Caenorhabditis elegans: one gene and its partners. The protein of the gene in region 2 purifies or fractionates together with the protein of the main gene of each other region. This does not show direct contact. Each region holds a gene or a part of one and is shown on either strand. Other genes may lie near its edges.

Evidence for each region.
Region 1: the proteins of C10G11.10 (region 2) and mrps-7 fractionate together in Caenorhabditis elegans (co-fractionation; one large-scale study listed by BioGRID). This does not show direct contact.
Region 3: the proteins of C10G11.10 (region 2) and gcy-31 fractionate together in Caenorhabditis elegans (co-fractionation; one large-scale study listed by BioGRID). This does not show direct contact.

What each region holds. Positions count from the first base shown.
Region 1 is NC_003282.8:14,766,256-14,769,399, forward strand, and holds mrps-7 (Small ribosomal subunit protein uS7m), read right to left. Parts: upstream 1,476-3,144; 5' UTR 1,471-1,475; coding exon 1,357-1,470; intron 1,312-1,356; coding exon 1,216-1,311; intron 1,164-1,215; coding exon 984-1,163; intron 938-983; coding exon 780-937; intron 736-779; coding exon 615-735; 3' UTR 518-614; downstream 1-517. Other genes in the region: vti-1 (t-SNARE coiled-coil homology domain-containing protein), read right to left, coding at 1-86, 187-401; Y57G11C.3 (Putative 6-phosphogluconolactonase), read left to right, coding at 1,946-1,981, 2,035-2,808.
Region 2 is NC_003279.8:6,304,267-6,308,362, reverse strand, and holds C10G11.10 (uncharacterized protein), read left to right. Parts: upstream 1-1,978; 5' UTR 1,979-2,007; coding exon 2,008-2,026; intron 2,027-2,067; coding exon 2,068-2,132; intron 2,133-2,175; coding exon 2,176-2,305; intron 2,306-2,579; coding exon 2,580-2,821; intron 2,822-2,865; coding exon 2,866-2,955; intron 2,956-3,010; coding exon 3,011-3,105; intron 3,106-3,288; coding exon 3,289-3,331; 3' UTR 3,332-3,447; downstream 3,448-4,096. Other genes in the region: C10G11.1 (uncharacterized protein), read right to left, coding at 1-32, 82-174, 222-472, 713-842, 886-950, 992-1,010.
Region 3 is NC_003284.9:2,424,443-2,429,483, forward strand, and holds the start of gcy-31 (Soluble guanylate cyclase gcy-31), read right to left. Parts: upstream 3,063-5,041; coding exon 2,985-3,062; intron 2,568-2,984; coding exon 2,394-2,567; intron 2,284-2,393; coding exon 2,135-2,283; exon of another isoform or gene 2,043-2,134; intron 1-2,042. UniProt on the Caenorhabditis elegans protein: Synthesizes cyclic GMP (cGMP) from GTP. May play a role in embryogenesis.

The DNA of each region.
Region 1 (3,144 bases), on a different chromosome or scaffold from region 2:
TTATAGCTTTTTCCAGCTCTGTGTCCAATTGTTTCTTGTCACTTTGATAGCTTCGAACACGAAGTTCGTATTTTGTGCGTTCAGTTCTGAAAAGTACTGAATTTTGCAGCCCTGCGGCGCAGTTTTTTTTTCTCTTTTTGCAAATTTTATGTTAATTACAATTTTAATCAAAGCAAAAAAACTAACGTATTCGACTCCAACTCCCTAACAACCAGCTCCATCTGATCCAGCAAATCATTCACTTCTTCCAAACTTTTTCGAATTTCCTGAACTGCTCCGGCTCGATCGGACGATGGCAGAGTGTGCACGCGGCCGATTTTCGAGGTGATTTCCGCAGTTTGAAGCGAATATTGCTTTTCGAATCCACTGAGCTGCTCAACTGTTGCCGATTGGTTCGACATCTGGAAGCTCTGGTGGTAGGTAATTAGTAATTAATGAAAGCAAATTTTAAAATAAAAGGTATTGAAGGTATAATGATTGCCTTTCGGAAAAACGGAAAGAAATAAATCGATATTTTCAATTCAATTCAAAAGTTTAAAAACACAAAAAAAAGTAACAAAACAAAAGAGAAACGATAATCTAAGCTAATTATAGAATGTCTAGAAAATGAATAATTAGGCACGATAATGTGCATATGCCCGATTCGCTTCACAAGTCTTGTGCAATTCCTGTTTCGCTTGAATCGTTGATCCTTCGTTTTGACTGGCGGCGAGAAGCTCGGTCGCGAGGATGTCTCTGGAATTAAATAAATTATAATTTAAAAATAGAAATTAACCCACTTGAAATGTGTCTCTCCATGTTTCGATCGAACTCTACAAATATCTCTCATCATTTTCATTGCTCGAAACTCGGCTTCTGGTTCTTCAATTGGAAATGGAACCTGATAGGTGGTTCCTCCTCGGGTTACACCTTGAAGCTTCATGAGAGGATGACAATTCTGAATTTATTTTTAATTAACCAGTCAATAAAATATAAATTCTCACTTTAATTCCCTTTTTCGCAACAAGAAATGGGTCTAATTCGATACTTTTCTTCTCTTCTTCGGAAGCCTTTGCCCATGCCTTGTACTGCCGGCGCTTGATGATTTCCAACGCGCTGAGCACATTCTTGCGAGAAGTCTCCTTTTCCCCGTCTTTTGTGCACACTCGAATTAGTTTGTCGATCTTTAAAATAGTATTTGATTTTAAAAAAATATTCAAAGCATTGCAAGTTTACCACATGATCTCTGTAAAATACTGGTGTCGCATCACTTTTCATCGCTTTGAGGAACAAAAAGTTGCGCTCATCATCCGAATCCAATGGTTTTCGGAGCTAAAATAATAGTTAAGATTTATAGATTAAAACAAACAAATTAACCTCTTGAACATTCGTTACGGGATCTCTGAATACTCTTGGATCGTACATATTTGATGTGGAAGTCGTCGAAGAAATCCATCGTTTTTGAGCGAATCGCGCCAGTTTTGTGGTCATATTTACTACAAATAACAATATTAAGTATTTGATAATTAAATTGCAAATCATGAAGCTTTGAAAACTGCAAAAATATGCGAAGAAAACTCGGAAATCAATGGAAAATCCGTGGACTCGCTCGTATTTCGACACAAGAGTGCAGTGGAGCATGCTTGCATACTCTGCGTCTCGTCTTTTTGCATAGTCTATCGTCTCAATAAACTGGGCGCGCATGCATTTCGGAGTATTGTTGCTAGACATTTATCACTTTTTGTTTTTTTCCTGTTTTCATCGGCTTTTTTCTGAATAATAATAATACAGTTTAAATAAATTAAAATTCCTTTTTCTTATTTATGACACCTTCCTTTAGCTTTTAAAATAAACCTGGTTTATTTCGTGAAGAGAAATCCTTTTCATGTCATAAACGATTTTATTTCTTGCTTCTTTTTCAGTATTTCCGCTCACTCAGCCCCCGCTCATTCCGTGGAGAATATCAATGTGTCTCGTTAACGAATTCGTATCGAATAGCAATGTAAAATCTCGTTTCAAATGTATTTATTCTTTATAAAACAAAATTATTTTCAGATGAAGCCGGCGCTCAACGTTTCTGGCGACGAAAAGGAGCTCATCCTTCAGCTGCGTCGTTATCTCGAGGAAAAGCTCACCTATCTTCTAGATCAAAATGGTACAGTCAGTATTGGAGTTTCCGGTGGATCGATGCCACGAGTCTTTTCGAAAGCTATTCTCTCTTTGCCACAAGAGCAGCTGAATTGGAAGAGGATTCGAATTTTTATGGTTGATGAGCGTAACGTTGATCTGGATAGCGAGGAAAGTAATCAGGGAGAATATTTGAGATTATTCCCGAATGAGCTCAGAGACGTTTTTGTGCCCATGCAAATTTTCAAGGATCCCTGCCTCACCGCCCAACACTATGAAATCAGTCTTCGTAAATACTTGCTCCCGGAGCAGCTCAACAATACTGCTCGTTTCGATATTCTTTTCCTTGGAGTTGGTCCAGATGGTCACACTGCAAGTATCTTCCCTGGAAAGGAGCGGCTGGAGAAGATTACCGAGCTAAATTGGGTTTCCGTCATCACAGACTCCCCGAAACCTCCACCATCTCGTATCACACTTACTTTGCAAACTCTTCAACACGCCAAAAACGTTGCTTTCATCATTTGCGGGAAACAAAAAGCGGAAATTGTACGAGGAATTTGTGATCGTGATCAAAAGTATCCGGCCGCTCAAGCACGTCCATTCAACGACAAATTGACACTATTCCTCGATGAAGACGCAGCAACTGGTGTACCGGATAGAGATTCGTCGGATTCTGACTCTCCTCCACCGTTTGACGGATGAGCAGCATCTTGTGTGATATTAAAATATATACCTAATTTCTTTTTTTTTTCTCTGTAATTTTCTCTTATTTTTTTCATTAAGTCGCATTCCTCCTTATTCCTTTAATTATGGCCATCATCAAAGAGAAACAAAAAACCACAAAAAAAAATTCAAATCGTCGTGAAAGTTTTAAATTGTTTCCGGATTTCCTCCAACTGTAAAATAAAATTGCAATTTTTGAATTTATGAAATTCAATTTTCTAAAATATTGTAAACGGTTCATTACCGTGAATTACTTTTTTTAGATGCGGAACTTCAAAAAACTACAGGATCGATCGGGGAATTTGCTCGTTTTAT
Region 2 (4,096 bases):
CCGGGAGTCATTGCACGAGTTGGAACTGCAGGCTGAAATTTATTTTAAAACTAACTTAAATTTTTTCATTTACAAACACACCAGATCTGTAGATTTTGGCATTTTCATGTCAACAGATTGTTTCTTAGTCAGAGCATTGTTGTTTGTGGTAGGTGGCTGTGAAGCCTCGAATTGCTTCAAAAAATATTATTGCTGGATGATCTGAGAGAAAAAAAACTTACGTAGCGAGAAACCCCAATCTGCTTTTCATTTGGCGCCAGGAATACACGTTCCGGAGCAATCGCACTCTCTTTTGTTCTTGTTCGAGGTGCCTTCGCTGGTGTCTTCAGAGGCGCAGGTATTGCCGCATCAACAGGTTTTTTAGGTTTTGTTTTGAGTGCAAGTTTAGCCAACGGATTCTCTTCATCATCACCTTCAAACTCATCCTTTTTCTCCACTGGTGCCTTGACGGTTATGTTGAATTTAACGTCATCTGGAAAATTATTATCTCATGTTCCCATCGCAAACCGCAAAGCCGCGTTTTTATCATAAGCCATTTTTATAAGTGCATGGTTGTATACTACTTGCCTACTTCATGCCTACACGCTTATTCCATATTTTAACCTATAAGTTTGCCTTTGTACGTGCCCTTTACACATGTTTTGTTCTGTCTTCGGGTTTACTTACTGGCCTACTTCATGTCTACTAAAACTGCTCAAGTATCAAAAATCACCATCATCAGAATCCGGTTTAGTAGGAGTTCTCTGTATTGGTGTTAAAGCCGGTGAACTAGACTGAGTTGTTCCAACATTTGTGTTTGTCGGAGATACGGATGGACGGTGTGGCTCTTTCTTTTTCGACGACTGAAATTTAGTTTTTATCACATAGATTTGTTGTGAAACTTACGCAGAAAATTAAAATCAATGGTACCAACAGAATGGGAATCAAATGACAAATCAAGGTTAGAATTTCTGAAAGATATCATCAGAATCTGTTCAACTTGCCAACCTACCTAAACCAAAAACGACCATATTTTTTGGTGGAAATTTAGAAAAACTTTACGAAATGATTTGTTTTTCTTATCAAATGCACAATCTCTTCATTTTTTTGCTCTAATCATTTTTTAAAATTTCACGTAAATCAATTTCTAGTGTTTGAAGTGTCGCTACTATAGAAAATTTTTGAAAAATATTTTCAAAACTTTTTGAAATTTTTTTATAGTCCAAAGGTTGAATTATCTCAGTTTTCCCCCCAATCGTGGAAGTCTACTAAAACTGGAATTTTTTCTACAAGCTTAACTACTTATGTACTAAGTTTCAAATGTAAAAACGAATGTTATTTTGTCAAACTGCAATTTTGAATAAATCATAAATCGACTTATTTTTCCCATTTTTGAGAAATTTTATTCAACGAAAGAGTCAATGCCAGTTTTGTTAATTTATACTCAATTGGTTAAAAAAGTTCTAAGTGTAACTTTCTGAAATGTGTATGATTTTTTTTCAAACTTTCTGTCAAATCATATGTCCTCCACAATTTTTGCTAGCAGATTCCGGCGTCCCCCATAACCAAAAACAGAAACCCCAGAAGTGAATGAGTAAATAATGATACAATTGATTCTCAATGTCAGACTTTATTTTCAAATTACGAGCGCTCCGGTATAAAATTCAAGGGACGAGAGGGGCGTCCTCATAACAGCCCTAACCACAGTCTTATTGTGAGTCGGTTTCCATCATATGGGAAACCTGAAATATTTCAGCACTTTCCTGTAAAAAAATTTCAAAGAGTTTTATAAGATTTTGCTATAATTGGCTTTATGGTTATATTTTTAGAATTGTTAGAGTAATGTTAAAAATTTGATCCACTGGCGATCTACTTCCCATTCCAAAAAAAAAATTATTTACGTGAAATTCAAGAAAACAATTGATTGAAAAAAGATTTTAAAAAAAGATAACAAAATCAAAAAGATTGTGCATTTGATAAGAAAAACAAATCATTTCGTAAAGTTTTTCTAAATTTCCACCAAAAAATATGGTCGTTTTTGGTTTAGGTAGGTTGGCAAGTTGAACAGATTCTGATGATATCTTTCAGAAATTCTAACCTTGATTTGTCATTTGATTCCCATTCTGTTGGTACCATTGATTTTAATTTTCTGCGTAAGTTTCACAACAAATCTATGTGATAAAAACTAAGTTTCAGTCGTCGAAAAAGAAAGAACCACCTCGTCCAATCGCATCACAGACCTCAGCTAATGCTTTAGTACCACAGTCTAGCTCACAACCTTCAACTCCAATACAAGCCCCTCCTATCAAAAATGAAGAGGATGATGGTAATTTTTCGATACTTTGAAGCATTGTCAGTAGGCTTTGGGTAGGCCGTAGTCAGGCAAGAATGGGCAAGTAGAGTTACTCAATAGTAGACAGGCAGATTGGCAGATAATAAAAGTAATAAAGTAGGTATGGAGCATGCATTTAAGCAGGCAGGCACGTAGGCAAGTGTGAGGTACACTCGTAGGTAGGCACGTTAGAAGCCATGATGACAAAACGCGAATAATCGGGCGTCCGGTTTGTCACGCAAACATGATACAATAAGTGACTTTCCAGATGACGTTAAATTCAACATAACCGTCAAGGCACCAGTGGAGAAAAAGGATGAGTTTGAAGGTGATGATGAAGAGAATCCGTTGGCTAAACTCGCAATCAAAACAAAACCTAAAAAACCTGTTGATGCGCCTGTGAAGACACCTGCGAAGGCTGCACCTCGAACAAGAACAAAAGAGAGTGCGATTGCTCCGGAACGTGTATTCCTGGCGCTGAATGAAAAGCAGATTGGGGTCTCTTGCTACGTAAGTTCTTTTTTATCATTTTTTCTACATAATCTTTTTTGAAGCAATTCGAGCCTTCACAGCCATCGACCATGAACAATGCTCTGACTAAGAAACAATCTGTTGTCATGAAAATCTCAAAAGCTTCAGACCAGGTAAGCTTCAAAAGAAAAATAAAGTTAAAGTTGAAATTTTAAAAATAAATTTCAGCCTGCAGTTCCAACTCGTGCAATGATTCCCGGACCAAAACCATCTTGTGATCCTCCGAACAATAATAAAAGTGCAATGAAGATGAAGGTGGTGCAGTGAGTTTTATTTTAGTCAGAAAAGTGAAAAAAAAACAAGATTTTGAAAACTTTCCTAATTCACGTGCTTGTCTAACCGAAGACGATACTTTTTTAAACTGATTACAATTGATCAGGTGGATGTTATAGAAAATATAAAATCCACATTTATCTGACCTCGTTTTAGAAAACAATTTATTTCAGAGAACCTACTTGCAAAGAATTGGCTGTCGAGAAAACTCAATGATCCTTTGATGTTTCCATTTTATAAAAAATTCTTGTCTTGTCTAGTTTTCTGTGTATAAGATTTGTTAATTATTATATAATCCTATAGTTCTGTATTTCAATAAACTTGAGACATCAACTCTGTTTGTTTTTCTGAAATTCTCAGCAATTGTTTAGTGAATTTCCTATAAGGAGCGAATTAACGAAATGAATCAAAATAATTAAAAGATACTCCAAATCATTTATTCAAGTCGAATTCTTCGAAAATTATCTTCACAAACAAATCGACTTCCAAAAATATAACTGAAAATCTCAAAGACATGCCCCTGTTAGAATTTGCATTTTAATGACGACAACTGATTTTTTTAAATAAATTTTAGAAATAACTAAGCCCTCAAAACTATGATGTACTTCTGTGACTTTTTTGTTCAAATCAGAAATCTTGACGCAAATGAATGTGCATTTTTGCGGAAATAAAGTCAGATGATTTCTTTATTATAATATTCATCTCTAGATGCGTCATAAATGAGTGTATTGATGTGATCTAACAAACCTGATGAATAAATATAAATAAATAACGTTATTTCGATTTAAAATTTTAAAACTGTAAGATCGAAAAACATGAAGCGTTTGAATGTTAGGATAAAAACTATTCACTATCATAATCATAACCAATAACTACAGTTGTATTCCATATTTTAATTTGAAGCTGAATACTTTTTTCGTCGAATTTAACTATTTATAATGTTGTCTGAAATAAATAGATACTTTATTGCTTTAAAAAACA
Region 3 (5,041 bases), on a different chromosome or scaffold from region 2:
AATTTGAATTCTCTGTGCTAACTTCACGAAGGCTGACAGTTTTATTGAAAAGTTGTTAAACAAGTTAAAGGAACGGTTCAAACAATTCCGAATTTATATGTATGTATACCAAAAATGTGCTCAAAAGTACAAATTTTGAAATGAGACTTCTCAAAAAAGTTTTCAAATTTTTTATGGGCCTTTTAGCTAAAATATCAAGTTTTCCCACATTTCCGTCTCACAAATTTTGGAAGAAAACTTTTTTTTTGAAATTACCATATTTTATTGCATCTTTTTTCGTTGATCAATTTTATAAATTTGAAGCCGATGGGCAACACTTTTCGCCAATTTTCGGTTATATATATATATTTGCGTTAGATGGATTTCAATTAACTAAATAATCTGAAATAAGCAATCAAAGTACGTAATAAAAGATGCAGTAGCACTACGGAAAAGTTGAAAAAACTGGAGATTTTAGCTAAAAGTAAGCCATTATTTTCGAATTTGTATACCGTCATTTGTTCATTATGGGTGGTTTTTTCTTTTGTAACAGGAACTCAAATTGATTGCAAAATACTATATTCCATTTTGAGAATTAGCGAGTTTATGGCAGTTCAAAAAATTCAAAGAAAAATTATTAAAGTGAGCTGAAATCTAACATCCTCATTCTGTTCGCTTTTTTCTCGTTTTTTTTCTAATTTTGGTACATTTTTAGCCGATTCGAAATCAAATAAGGTTACCTATCTTTTTGAGATTGGATATTTGTTTTCCAAAATTATCGATTTTCTAGCCAACTATTTCTGATTTGTCCCTTTCCAAAGACTTTAGATTAAATTCTTGTACAATTTAACATCATCACATCCGCGTTGTAATGGTATTCATGACATATCCCTCTTCAAATCGAAAGTAATGGGTTCGTATTATATGTCATCGGGCGTTTTTGCCGCCACGACGAACTCTCTGAGAAGTATCTGGGCAAGTATTCAATTCTAGGTCATATGTGAGTATGGTGGGTGTCTCATTGACCTGACACATAAGTTCCCTCTATTTTACAACAAGACAGACAAAAAAGAAGTTTCACGCGCTGCTGCGACGACAAACCAGGAACATTTCGGTCTGCGAGAATCATCAAACATTTGTCGACGACGGAAGGAAACAATCGTCAAGAGTGCACTGTCTTTCACGCACTACTCACAATCTTCAAGTTGCAACATTTTGACACAAAGGAAACTGAGCGGTCGCGAAAGGAATTATTTGTGAACAAATAACACCGCTACAAGCATCAAACTACATGTCGATCTTTGAACTTTTTTCGAATCTTGTATATGCACGAGTTTTGAAATGAACATTTTCTAGTTACGACTAGAGAGCCCCTTAAAATTGCGGAGGCCAATTGGCATGAAACATATCTCATTTGAAAGCTAAAATTGTAATCTGTAAGAATCTGAGTTTTGATTTCGCACAACACATTTGGCAACCTAGAAACTTCCATTTCAGATTTGTCGAAGCCAAATATTCGTTAACTTTGGCTAGTCGTATCTCTCCAAAAACGCGAGATTTGAAAAAAGTTGTCAACTAACACGTTTCCTGATTAACAACTTCTACTTTTCAACATTTCCAGGATGTTTTGGGCAAAAACTAAAATCAAAATCTTAGAGTTTACAGTTTCAGCTTTCAAATGGCCTATGTTTCAAGCCAATGTTTTAGGCCACCTTAAGTTTACGGTGTTCCCTAGCTAGCCTATAACTATTTCTAGCAAGTTAGCCTAAGCCTTGCCTAAGCCTGTAAGCCTATATGCGGTAAGCCTAAGCCTGTAAACCTAATGGGCCTTTTAGTTCAAAATACCCAAAGCCATTACTTTTACCTTTAAATTACCTTTAAATAAAATGACTAGAATTTCACAAATGAATAAAATTTCAATTTATTAATCAAATTCGTGCCCATAATACACAGGTACCCGTTTTTCTATGATCCACATTCACAATTCAACATCCCCACCACTTTCCACGTCCACAAACTAAAATATGAATAAACGCACTAAATGTTTTGTTACTTTTGGTTTGGTTTGCATACCAGTCGGCGTACAAAACAACCAGTTATTGATGATGAGTTGTCATCGGCCCCCCCCCCCCCTCTCCTCTCTTATAGCACTAACCTATAGTGAAGTGTCAAACCGGTACGGCTTTCGTGTTCGCAGTAGAATGACGGAGGTTTGAGTTTGGGAAACGTAAAACGGAGGTACTCGTGCAAATTGTCCAATCCGTTCAAAAACTGCGGAAATGTTCGTCCCAAAACGCGTAGTACCTTGAAAAATTGGACTGATAAAAAAAAACCTGTATTTTTTAAAAACGAAACGGTAACAATTTTTTTTAATTTTCACTCACATAAGGTATGTAAAACAATACATAGTATACCTTATTAAACTCAAACTTTGTGAGAAACTTGTAAAAACTTGTTCCAATATTTGTCATCAGTTCATCCACAGGATCCCCCGTCACATCATGACATGCCCAAATCAACTTGTGAGATAAACCTTCAGAAAACTTTTTGTCCATTTGAAATGTATCGTCGGTGACCCCCGACACGAACTGAAAAGTTGTGAACTCAAAATAACCTTGACAATGAAGAAAACAACACAATCATTGTAACATGCAATCTATTGGTGCATAAATCATGTACAAAGATAGTTGCCGTAACCTAGAACCTCAATCGAAATAGATTGGTCGTGACATGTGTCAGCACTATATCATTTAGTGGTACATTAATACCCGACCAAAATCCTGGGGGGGGGGGGGGTTCTTATCGACTCTAAGTATAACAGGCTCATTACGCCACCGCCACTAGGGAGATGTTATCAAACAGGAAATGGACTATCTCGGTGACCTATGAACCGCCAACAAGAAATTGGACCGTCCTTGAAACCAGTTAGAGAGGTTGCACAACCTTCGTTGCGAATGGCTTTTCTTTCATGGTCACTCACTGCAAAACTGTTGGGAAACACTTACCTTAACCTCTGACCAGGTAGATTCTCCATATTTTTCCTTAATGTAAGTAGCAATGTGATCAATTATTAAGCCGTACATGGCGGTGTGAAAATTGAAAATGAAAATGTTGATAGCGACGGGGGAAGCGATAGACACAAATTTCCTGCTCTCATCACATTAAATTAATGCCGGATCCTGCTATAGCCACGTACCACTTCCGGTGCTAACACATATTGATTCAGAATTCGTATAATGTTTGAGCTTGTAATTCAAAATGAGTAAAGCTAAAAATGGGAATATAGAATTTACGATGCTTCAAGGTTGTTAGAGATTTTGAACGTATATGCTAAAAATGTTCTCAAAGGAAGAAATTTCGAAACGAAACTTTTCGAAAGTTGTTTTAAGTAGTTTTCTGACGATTCAAAACTATTTTTTCCAGTTTTTACAACACTTCCGTACTCGACAATTGGCTCCAGCTTCTTGTCCAAGTTTGGCAAAAAAAAGTATTAGCTTGGATCAGAAGTTGGCTAAACTTTGGCTAAACTTGGATTCATGCGACCCAACTCTTGTCAAACTTCTGCCCACGCTAAAAAAAAACAGAAGTTCGGGCCAAAATTTGGCAAAGGTTGTGCCAAACGTGGACTAAACTTTATCGTGGCCTAAAAGCTACCGAGTTCAGTCAAAATTGATAAATCGAAAAAAAAGTGGCCAAAATTGGAGATTTTAGCTGAAATCAGGCTAATTTTTTTTGTGAAAATTTGAGCGGCTATAAAAATATTTGAAAAATTTTCGAGAAACTATACTACGACATTTGTTTATTTGAGCAGATTTTGGGTCCATCCTTTTAAATTTGATTTTCAATATTTGAAAATTTTCACATCAATATTTTTTTTCCTTTGGCTCTATTTCCGAACCCCCATTTTTTTCAGCCAAAAAGTAACCCCTAGTTAACCTTCCCGCCAAACTTTCCCATCTTCATTTACACCCGCATCATTAATTTTCATCTTTCCCGTTCCCTTGACTGGAGTGTTTTTCAGTTGCCCTTGGAAGTTTGCCTATCCAAATCAATCTTCAAAGCGAATTGGCTACTGCAAACGGAAAAAAAGCAATATTGCCTGTGTTGTTGTAAAGAAGTTTCGCGTTTTATTCTTTTTGATTCGCTTTCAAATCGGAAGCTGAATGTACAAATGTATAGCGTTTTTCACTGAAGAGTGTTAGGTGAACAAAGAACAGTCCACAATGTTTTTGTTGTTTTTTCTTTCTATCTCGAATAGTCAGACAAAGAAAATGCTCGTCACAGAATGTACAGTAAACAGAACATATTATGGAATGGAAAAAATTGGAATATTTTATGCTGTCTCAACTAAAAGAACATGAAAATTCAAAACAATTTTGCCACAAGTACAGTTTGGCAACATCGTTATGCCAAATAAATTAGCAGGAATTATCCGTATAGCTGCCAGCAGTCAACAGTATTGTATGAACCATGATGGTGTACTGAGAAACTAAAAGCAATAATCGCTTGAAATGACTGCCAACAAAAGTACATAATGGAAGAGTATTTTAGCATTCATGGAACGGTTAAAAGTGGGGTAGTTCCGGTAGGAATTTAGTCTGAATAAAATTTTTCAAAACGACCAAAAAAAAAAAAACAAAAATAATTAAAACAAAATTAAAGTGTAGCAACCGTAGGAGAAAAAATTTTCTGGTCGACTCTAAAAATTATGAATGACAAAAACTGAGTAATATTCACTTCTTGACTATAAATTTAAAACAATCCATTTTTTATAAATAATTTTACTATGTTAACTTGTTATTTTGGCACCATAGGAATAGTGAACTGTACCTTCAAAATATTCTCAGACTTGAGCCAGTTTTCCACTTTTTTGGAAGTCGTCGATCAAAAAAATTGTCTCCTTTGAGGGTTCTGGTTGACGTTTCAAATAATAACATTCAAACACTGTAGGGAGTTGAACTTGCGATATTACTATTACTTTCTCAAAAAGTGGCAAATTAATTGTCATTTTTTGGCTGTCAATAATAATTTTTTAAGAATATTTTGAAAAGATTGATATTTA